Macaca mulatta: one gene and its partner. Each later gene encodes a partner of the first gene's protein in a complex. Links are inferred from orthologs where the notes say so. Each region holds a gene or a part of one and is shown in the gene's direction. Other genes may lie near its edges. The genes, in order: JAML and CXADR.

What was found.
Region 2: the proteins of JAML (region 1) and CXADR are in contact, whole or in part, in a crystal structure (PDB 3MJ7), measured with the Mus musculus proteins. The link is inferred for Macaca mulatta from reciprocal best matches to the Homo sapiens genes JAML and CXADR. Residues at the interface, in NP_001005421.3 of Mus musculus: Arg57, Asp59, Ala69, Tyr72, Phe75, Tyr77, Leu80, Val82, Glu120, Arg122, Ser127, Met128, Val129, Met130, Lys131; in NP_001020363.1 of Mus musculus: Thr23, Gly51, Pro52, Asp54, Glu56, Leu58, Ser60, Gln65, Ile66, Val67, Asp68, Gln69, Val70, Leu73, Tyr83, Lys121, Lys123, Lys124, Ala125, Pro126, Gly127, Val128, Asn130.

Annotation. Positions count from the first base shown.
Region 1 is NC_133419.1:118,872,761-118,876,576, reverse strand, and holds part of JAML (junctional adhesion molecule-like precursor), read left to right. Parts: intron 1-1,072; coding exon 1,073-1,310; intron 1,311-3,816. UniProt on the Homo sapiens protein: Transmembrane protein of the plasma membrane of leukocytes that control their migration and activation through interaction with CXADR, a plasma membrane receptor found on adjacent epithelial and endothelial cells.
Region 2 is NC_133408.1:30,188,465-30,192,280, reverse strand, and holds part of CXADR (coxsackievirus and adenovirus receptor), read left to right. Parts: intron 1-3,498; coding exon 3,499-3,703; intron 3,704-3,816. UniProt on the Homo sapiens protein: Component of the epithelial apical junction complex that may function as a homophilic cell adhesion molecule and is essential for tight junction integrity.

The DNA of each region.
Region 1 (3,816 bases):
ATCAGGCAATAGTAAGAGCCTATGGGGAACAATAAAGCAGGACTTTGTGGTTTTTGTTATGTGGGTGCTTGGGGAGGCCATACTGAGATGACATTTGAGGAGAGGTGTGAAGGAAGTCAGGGAGTGAATCCTGCATGTGTGTAGGGGAAGAATGTTCTTGCAGTCATAGACAGTAGCAAGTGCAAAGACCCTGCAGCCAGTATGCAAGGAGCAGCCAAGAGGTCCATGTGGCTGGAGTGCAGTGACCTAAGTAGGTGAGGGAAGAGCAAGTAGAAGTTGAAGTCAGAGGAAAAGGGAGATGGGCTGGGTCATGCAGGGCCTTGCATTTTGGTATAAATGGGAGTAGGGGCAATGAAGGGTTTTGAGCACAGGAGTAACATGATTTAACTTACATTTTTAAAGCCTCATCTGCTGAAAATAGATTGTCATAGCAAATAAGCAGGGAGACAAGTAAGAAAGCTGTTGCAGGAACCCAGGTGAGAGATGAGCTGGACCAGAATGGTATCAGTGGAGGAGGTGAGGACTGGCTGGATTGGGGATTTATTTTGAAGGTTGAGGTGATAGGATTTGCTGAGGGATTTGATGTGATTTTTTCCAGAAAGAAATTAAGGATGACTTCAAGATTTTTAGCCTGAGTATCTGGAGGAAGGCATTGCCATGTACCCAAATGGGATGGACTGGAAAGAACTGGTTTGGGGGAAAGATGGAGTTCCATTTTAGACATGTTTCAGGTTCCTATTGGAAATCCAACTAGAAATGTCCTCAAGAATAAAAGTATACTTTTGCTTTTTTTACTGGAAAGGTACACAAAATGAAAGTCCTCCTTTTCTCATCCCTCTGTTCAGATGGAACAACTGTTCATGGTTTGGTGATGTCCTTCACAAGCACACACACATGCACATGTGTATGTGCGTGTACATGACTTTGTGTTATTTAAAGCTTTCTGATAATACCCTTACTGCCTTCACCTAGCAGGGCCTTGGGAGTCCTGAGATCTTCCCTCCCCCATTTTCTCTGCTCCCCCCTCCACTCCAGTCCTCACAATCTCATACTTTTTGCCTTCCCCTTCTAGGAGGAGATTGTGTTTCGTTACTACCACAAACTCAGGATGTCCGTGGGGTACTCCCAGAGCTGGGGCCACTTCCAGAATCGTGTGAACCTGGTGGGGGACATTTTCCGCAATGACGGTTCCATCGTGCTTCAAGGAGTGAGGGAGTCAGACGGAGGAAACTACACCTGCAGTATCCACCTAGGGAACCTGGTGTTCAAGAAAACCATTGTGCTGCATGTTAGCCCAGAAGAGCCTCGAAGTATCTAACATTTGGCTGGGGGGCATTGAGGGACCTCCTGGCTGGTGCATGGGGCCAGGACTAGAGTGAGGCCGGAGAGGTTCCTAGGATGCAAAATTGAAGGAGGCATCCCTCTCAGGTGCTGACTCTGGCCTTGCACAACCCTGAGAATGATGCCTCCTTAGAGGTGGCTCCTCAGGTACCTGACTTGCCTCACCCTAATTCTGGCCCCGCTGCTAGGCCAGGGACAGGGGAGCTAATTTAGTGAATACCAGTCCTCTGCCAGACCCCACTCATTGCCAGGGTCGTCTATTGATGTAAAGATACAGAAGCTCAGGGAAGGATCTGAGTTGATGTCCAAAGTCAGCATACTTGGTTTCAAGGGAGGTGCTGTACGCGCTAGAGTGGAGCGGGAAGTGATCCTAAGCTAGTGAGAGACAGCCAGGAACAGAGAGGACCATGCAGGCACCAGAACCAAAAATGGAGGCGTTTTCTAATCAGAGGTTCTCGGTTCTGGCAAACAGCGTGCATCAAGGCCAGTGGTGTGTAGGAGAGGAAAGACTCAATTGTGTTGACAGAGAGAGGTTGATAAGTGAGGGGTTGAAGTTAAACCATAACCCAGTTAGCAATCAGGATGTGGCCTGTGGACTTTGCCCCTTGCTAGGGCCTTCAGGAGTTGGTTGTGGTTGATTGGGGGTGGGGAAGATGGGGTGAGGATGGAACATACCTCATACCTCAGGCCAGAGATTTAAGTCTGTGGAGGCACCTTGTCTCCAGCTGGAGAGGGGAGCAGGGCAGATGGGTTTCTTAAAGAACCATCATCTTTCTGTGTGCTTCCTTCTCAGAAGTCCAATTCACAGAGAAAATCGAGCTATTATGGGGGCTCATGCAGCTTCTCTACCCACAAACATATCTATGTCTCCCCATCCTTATCTCTGCCCTGCCATCCTGAGACAGAGGAGGGTCCCTTCTGCTCTGGGCTTATCTGGCCCCCTGTGCCCAGGTGGCATCCTTCTCAGGAGCCTCACAACATGGCTCTTTGAGCTCTCACTTTCTGTTGGCTTCTACCATTCAAATTTGCTCAATTCTACCACTTACCTACTCCAACTCCCTTCTATGTCTTTTTTTCTTCAGCTCCATTCTGTGTCTTTCTTTTTCTTCAGATTGCTTTCCTGAGATACAATTCACATACCATACAATTTGCCCATTTAAAGCGTTCAGCTCAATGGTTTTAGTACATTCAGAGTTGTACAACCACCACCACAATCATGTATTTCTTTCTCAACATAGCCAAATAGCTTGCTAAAGGTCTGTGTTTGGAATACTACCGTCTCATCTCCCATTAACTCTTCAGTGCACTGCATTCTGGCTTATTCTACCTGTACTCCAGCTTAGACCACCAATGCCACTGCAACTATCCATCCTCAGCCTTCTCTCCCTCAGTAGCGTTGGACACTATATTTTATATGCACTCTATGTTGGACCCAATTCCACACACACTCATGGATATGCATAGTAAACTCTACACAAGTTTTCCACAAATCCTTCATACGCGACATGTCTCACCTACCCCTGTACACCCTTCCTCAGCCCATCTCCCCAACCTCAGTTGTCTAACTAGATGCCTGGGGATGTGCTTGATTCCTTCCCTTTCCTTGACCCCAATCTAACAGGTCAGGTCAACAAGTCCTTGACTCCTACTACAGACTCTTGAAGTTGTCTTCCTTCCAGTCTGTCACTGCCACCTTAGTTCTGGCTGTCTTCATCTCTGTCTTGAACTGTAGGCCTCTAACCAGTCTCTGCTTTCTCTCTCAGCCACTGCTCCTCATTCTTCACACGGCTCTTGGTGCCACCTTTCTAAATCACATTAAGAACTTTCTCTTCCACTGCTAATAATCTTTCAATGGTTTTTTCATTGCCTGCAGAAAAATGCCAAATTCTTGGTTGAGATAGTCAAGGTCCTTCCTGACTTGGACCCTATCATCTCTCCAGCCAAATTCTCCAGCACACCCACAGATGCCACTTTTGTGCCAGACCCATTGAACTCTTTCTAGTTTCTAAAATCACCGTCCTGTCAGGCCTTCAGATCTCGCGCAGAACATCCCCTCTGTCCTTCCCCAGATTGTCTGCCCAAGAAACTGGATGTTTCCTATAAGTCTCAGGTTAAACTTTAGAACTTTTGCTGGCAAATTCTCATTTGCTGCACATAGAATTGGGCACCCTTTTTTCTGTGACCCTCTGTTCCCCGTACAGACTTCTGCTGTAGTGCCTACAGCAGCCTGTGGTTTTCTGTTGACGTGTTTGTCTCCTTCTTTGGAAGCAGGGACCATACATCATTTGTCTCTGAATCCCCTGTACCTAGTGCTGTCTGGTCCTGAGGAGGTGCTTGCTTTATGTGTTTAGAAAGAACCATGCAGATGAGTAGAAGGTACCCTATGGGCAGAAGTACCTCCAGAGGCTTTCCTTGGTATCGTCGTTGTGGGGCTGAGTCTTGCGGCATGTGTTCTTTTGAAGACAACCACTTGCC
Region 2 (3,816 bases), on another chromosome or scaffold:
TATTCTTGGCAAATCCAGTCAGTTTGCCCTTGATGTTTATGTTCAGGAAATAATTAAGGTGCTTTCCCAAGTTGTGAGTGACTAGAGCCACCCCCTCCAAGGATGTAACCTCTGCCCTGATTCTGTTACCAGAACTTCTTTCTGTTTCCCTGAGCAAAATAAATCGGGCCTGACTCATTGTATCTACTCAGCCTCCTTACCCTGTTCCTTGTCACTCTTACCTCCCCGTTCTCTCCCTTCTCTCTCTGTGGGGTTGCTGGCACCTAGAGTACAGGCTCCATCTGAGGTCCTGCAGTTCCCCGTTCCTGTGACAGTGCAGTGCCTGTCCCCCTTTAGAGCCCAGGACTCTGATCCTGTGCTTAAGATAGGGGAAGCCTAGGATGCGTATGGAGAGCATGGGTCTTCAGTGCTGCTGCTGAGTGAAGCTTGTGACAAGGTGCATGTAGAGACCGAGAAGTGCTGTGCCCTGAGCCATTAGTGTGTCTGTTAATGGGAAGAAGACTCCAAGTGTTCCATGCTGAGTGAGAGGCACGGCTTTGCCGTCTACAGGAGTTGTAAGAGAAATGTGAAACTGGGACTTGACTCTGAGTGACCATTTCTGGGTTAAAAACCTAGCTTCTAACCTAAAACACTGTCACATCAGACCAAAAGAAAGGTAGAAGGGTTAGGAAGAGATGGATGCGGAAGAGGATGCATACATAGAATTTAGGCTACATATGCTAACTGAGCCCCTATTTTAATATATTTCAGCTAGTAGACAGAATGGTTAAAAACTGGGAATTGGAGGACTGAGCTGGAGAAATTTGCATTCTTATTCCTTGTGTGATCTCTATAGTCAGCGGTTACTGTAAACTGCGTGCTTGGGCAGTGTTTTATATACTTTAATTGTATATACTTAAGCCGTAAAACAACATAGTAAGGTGAGAATTATTATATGTATGGCAAGGAGGAAACAGAGGCCCAGAGATTCTCATGCCCAGAGTCACATAGCTAGCAACAAATGCAGTTGGGATTTGAACCCAGGTCCCTCTGACTCTCACAGCTGCTCTGTTGCTCTGTTATCCTTTGTGCTGTCCCGTGCTGCCTCCCATGTTTCACAAACCTGTTTCCTCGTGTGTAAAGTAGGAACAGATATACCTAGCATCTCAGGGTCGTTATAAAAATTCAGCAAAATACTATATGCACAAGCATTCTGTAAGCTTGTAAATGATATTGAAATGATAATCATGTCCTGTGCCAAGTTAAATGGATCTGGTTTGCATCTTTGTTGTGCAAACGCTGATCAGTGAGAGCCACTGCTTTCCTCAGCCTAAATGTCAATGTGGACATTGCCATCATCCTTGCAGGGTTGTGAAGGGGAATCAGTGAAGACATGTAAAATTGCGTGGTAAACTTCCCATTCCTTAACTGATGTTTATAACGTCATTTTCCGGGAAGACACTAAGCTAGCTTATAAAATAACCAACAGTGGGAATGCATCTTATTTCTCAAGCCCCCCTTAAAAGGCTACTAAGGTGTGTGTGGAGCTTAACAAGCTACTGGAAGTACAATAGATCGAACTCTACGACCTTTAGAGTTAGATTCCACAGGCAAATTATGATAAGCCTTTTAATCAAAGGAAATTAATCAAAGGAAGATAGAGTAGCCACATTTGTGGAGTCGTCAGTGTTGCTGTTGACAAGTGGATGTGTCAAGAAGATTGAGCAAATAAAGTAATGGCTTATGTTTACAGAGTAAGTCAGCTGTGGACCCTTCAACTCTTTCTTTTATTTACTTAGCAGACTGGTATTGAGCGCAACCTAGATGCAGACAGTTTGTATATAAATAAAAGATCTAGCCGGGCATGGTGGCTCATGCCTGTAGTCCCAGCACTTTGGGAGGCCGAGGCAGGCGTATCACAATGTCAGGAGTTCGAGACCAACCAGGCCAATGTGGTAAAACCCCGTCTCTACTGAAAATACAAAAGTTAGCAGGCGTGATGGTGGGCATTTGTAGTCCCAGCTCCTCGGGAGGCTGAGGCAGGAGAATCGCTTTAATCCAGGAGGTGGAGGTTGCAGTGAGCTGAGATCGTACCACTGCACTCCTGCCTGGGTGACAGAGCAAGACTCTGTCTCAAAAAAAAAAAAGATCTTTGGTGGATTGGGGTGGGGTCAGTGTGGTTGGGAAGGAGATAATTCAGAAGAGAACCCAAGTTCCTCCACTCAAGAAGTTTCTGCAGAATAAACCTGGAAAACAGTACTCTTAGATGACATTTATTCTGATTATACTACCTATAATTAGCACTCAGGTAAAAGAGATTATTTGCAGGATACAGGTCATAGTTGTGTTTCCTGATTATTATTTGAGTTTTGGCATCACTGCTCTTTGGCCCATGGGTCTCATGACCAGAGTGAAGAGATTTCATTAGCAAAAAAGAAAAATTGTAAAATGTGTTAAATTAATGCTAGAGATTGTTAGAGAATACTACTACAGTTCTCTTCCAAGAAAATATTACAAACACAGATTTTATTTTCCCTCTAAAGCATCCAGCCTTTAGTAGTTGCCTTCAAAGGCTATAAGTGTGGTTCAGAAAACTCAGTGGATTCGGCAAGGGTCTTTGCTTTAGTTACAGAAGATTCATTCAAAGGACTTGTTAACCTGGGTACACATATCTTAAGAGGTTTATTTTATGATTTTATCTGTTAGAGTCTAGAACCCTCAAGTAACTCCAGCTTAGTATTAAGACCCAACTAAGTTATCTTTTTGTTAGATTCCACAGGCAAATTATGATAAGCCTTTTGTGGGGGCAGGGGGCAGTAGGTACTTGATTTTGTTACACTTGGTTGGCAAACTACTGCCTCAGAGGCAGTTGAAAAATAGAGTATGTAAGAATGAGCAGGCCAGGCACGGTGACTCACACCTATAATCATAGCACTTTGGGAAGCCGAGGTGGGTGGATCACTTGAGTCAATCACTTGACCAGCCTGGTCAACATGGTGAAATCCCATCTCTACTAAAAATACAAAAATTAGTTGGCTGTGGTGGCACGTGCCTGTATAGTCTCAGCTACTGGGGAGGCAGAGGTGAGAGAATTGCTTGAACCCAGGAGGTGGAGGGAGCCGAGATCGCACCATTGCACTCCAGCCTGGGCCACAGACTCAGACTCCATCTCAAAAGGGGAAAAAAAAAACAAACCAATGAGCACATCTGTGTTCTTGCCCGATCGTACTAAACTGCTGTCTAGGCCAGTGGAGGGCTTTGCTATTTTATCATGTTGGGTCTTGGTTTCCAGGTTAAAAACGGAAGTCTGGGACTATGCCCAAGGATCACGTTGATTCCATATTCTCGTTCTGTGGTTTGGATAGTTTTAGGTTTCCCCATAATATTGTGTTCTTTTTCTCTTTTTCTGCTGGGGGGCAGGGGTTCTGTAGCAGCAGGTGTATCCAGGGCTTCTTTAAGAGACAGTTTTTTTTGTTGTGTGTTTGATTTTCTGCCTGTCTAATTTTGGCTTTCTTTTAGATTATTTTATATTCTGGAGACAAAATTTATGATGACTACTATCCAGATCTGAAAGGACGAGTCCATTTTACGAGTAATGATCTCAAATCTGGTGATGCATCCATAAATGTAACGAATTTACAGCTGTCAGATATTGGCACGTACCAGTGCAAAGTGAAAAAAGCTCCTGGTGTTGCAAATAAGAAGATTCAGCTGGTAGTTCTTGGTAAGTTACTTTTATTTGCGTTAATGGGTTACTGAGTAAGAGGATGATTAGTCATAGTACCGTAGTAGCAGCATTTGTAGAAGACAAAGCTTAATTTTTTAGAATAACAATTT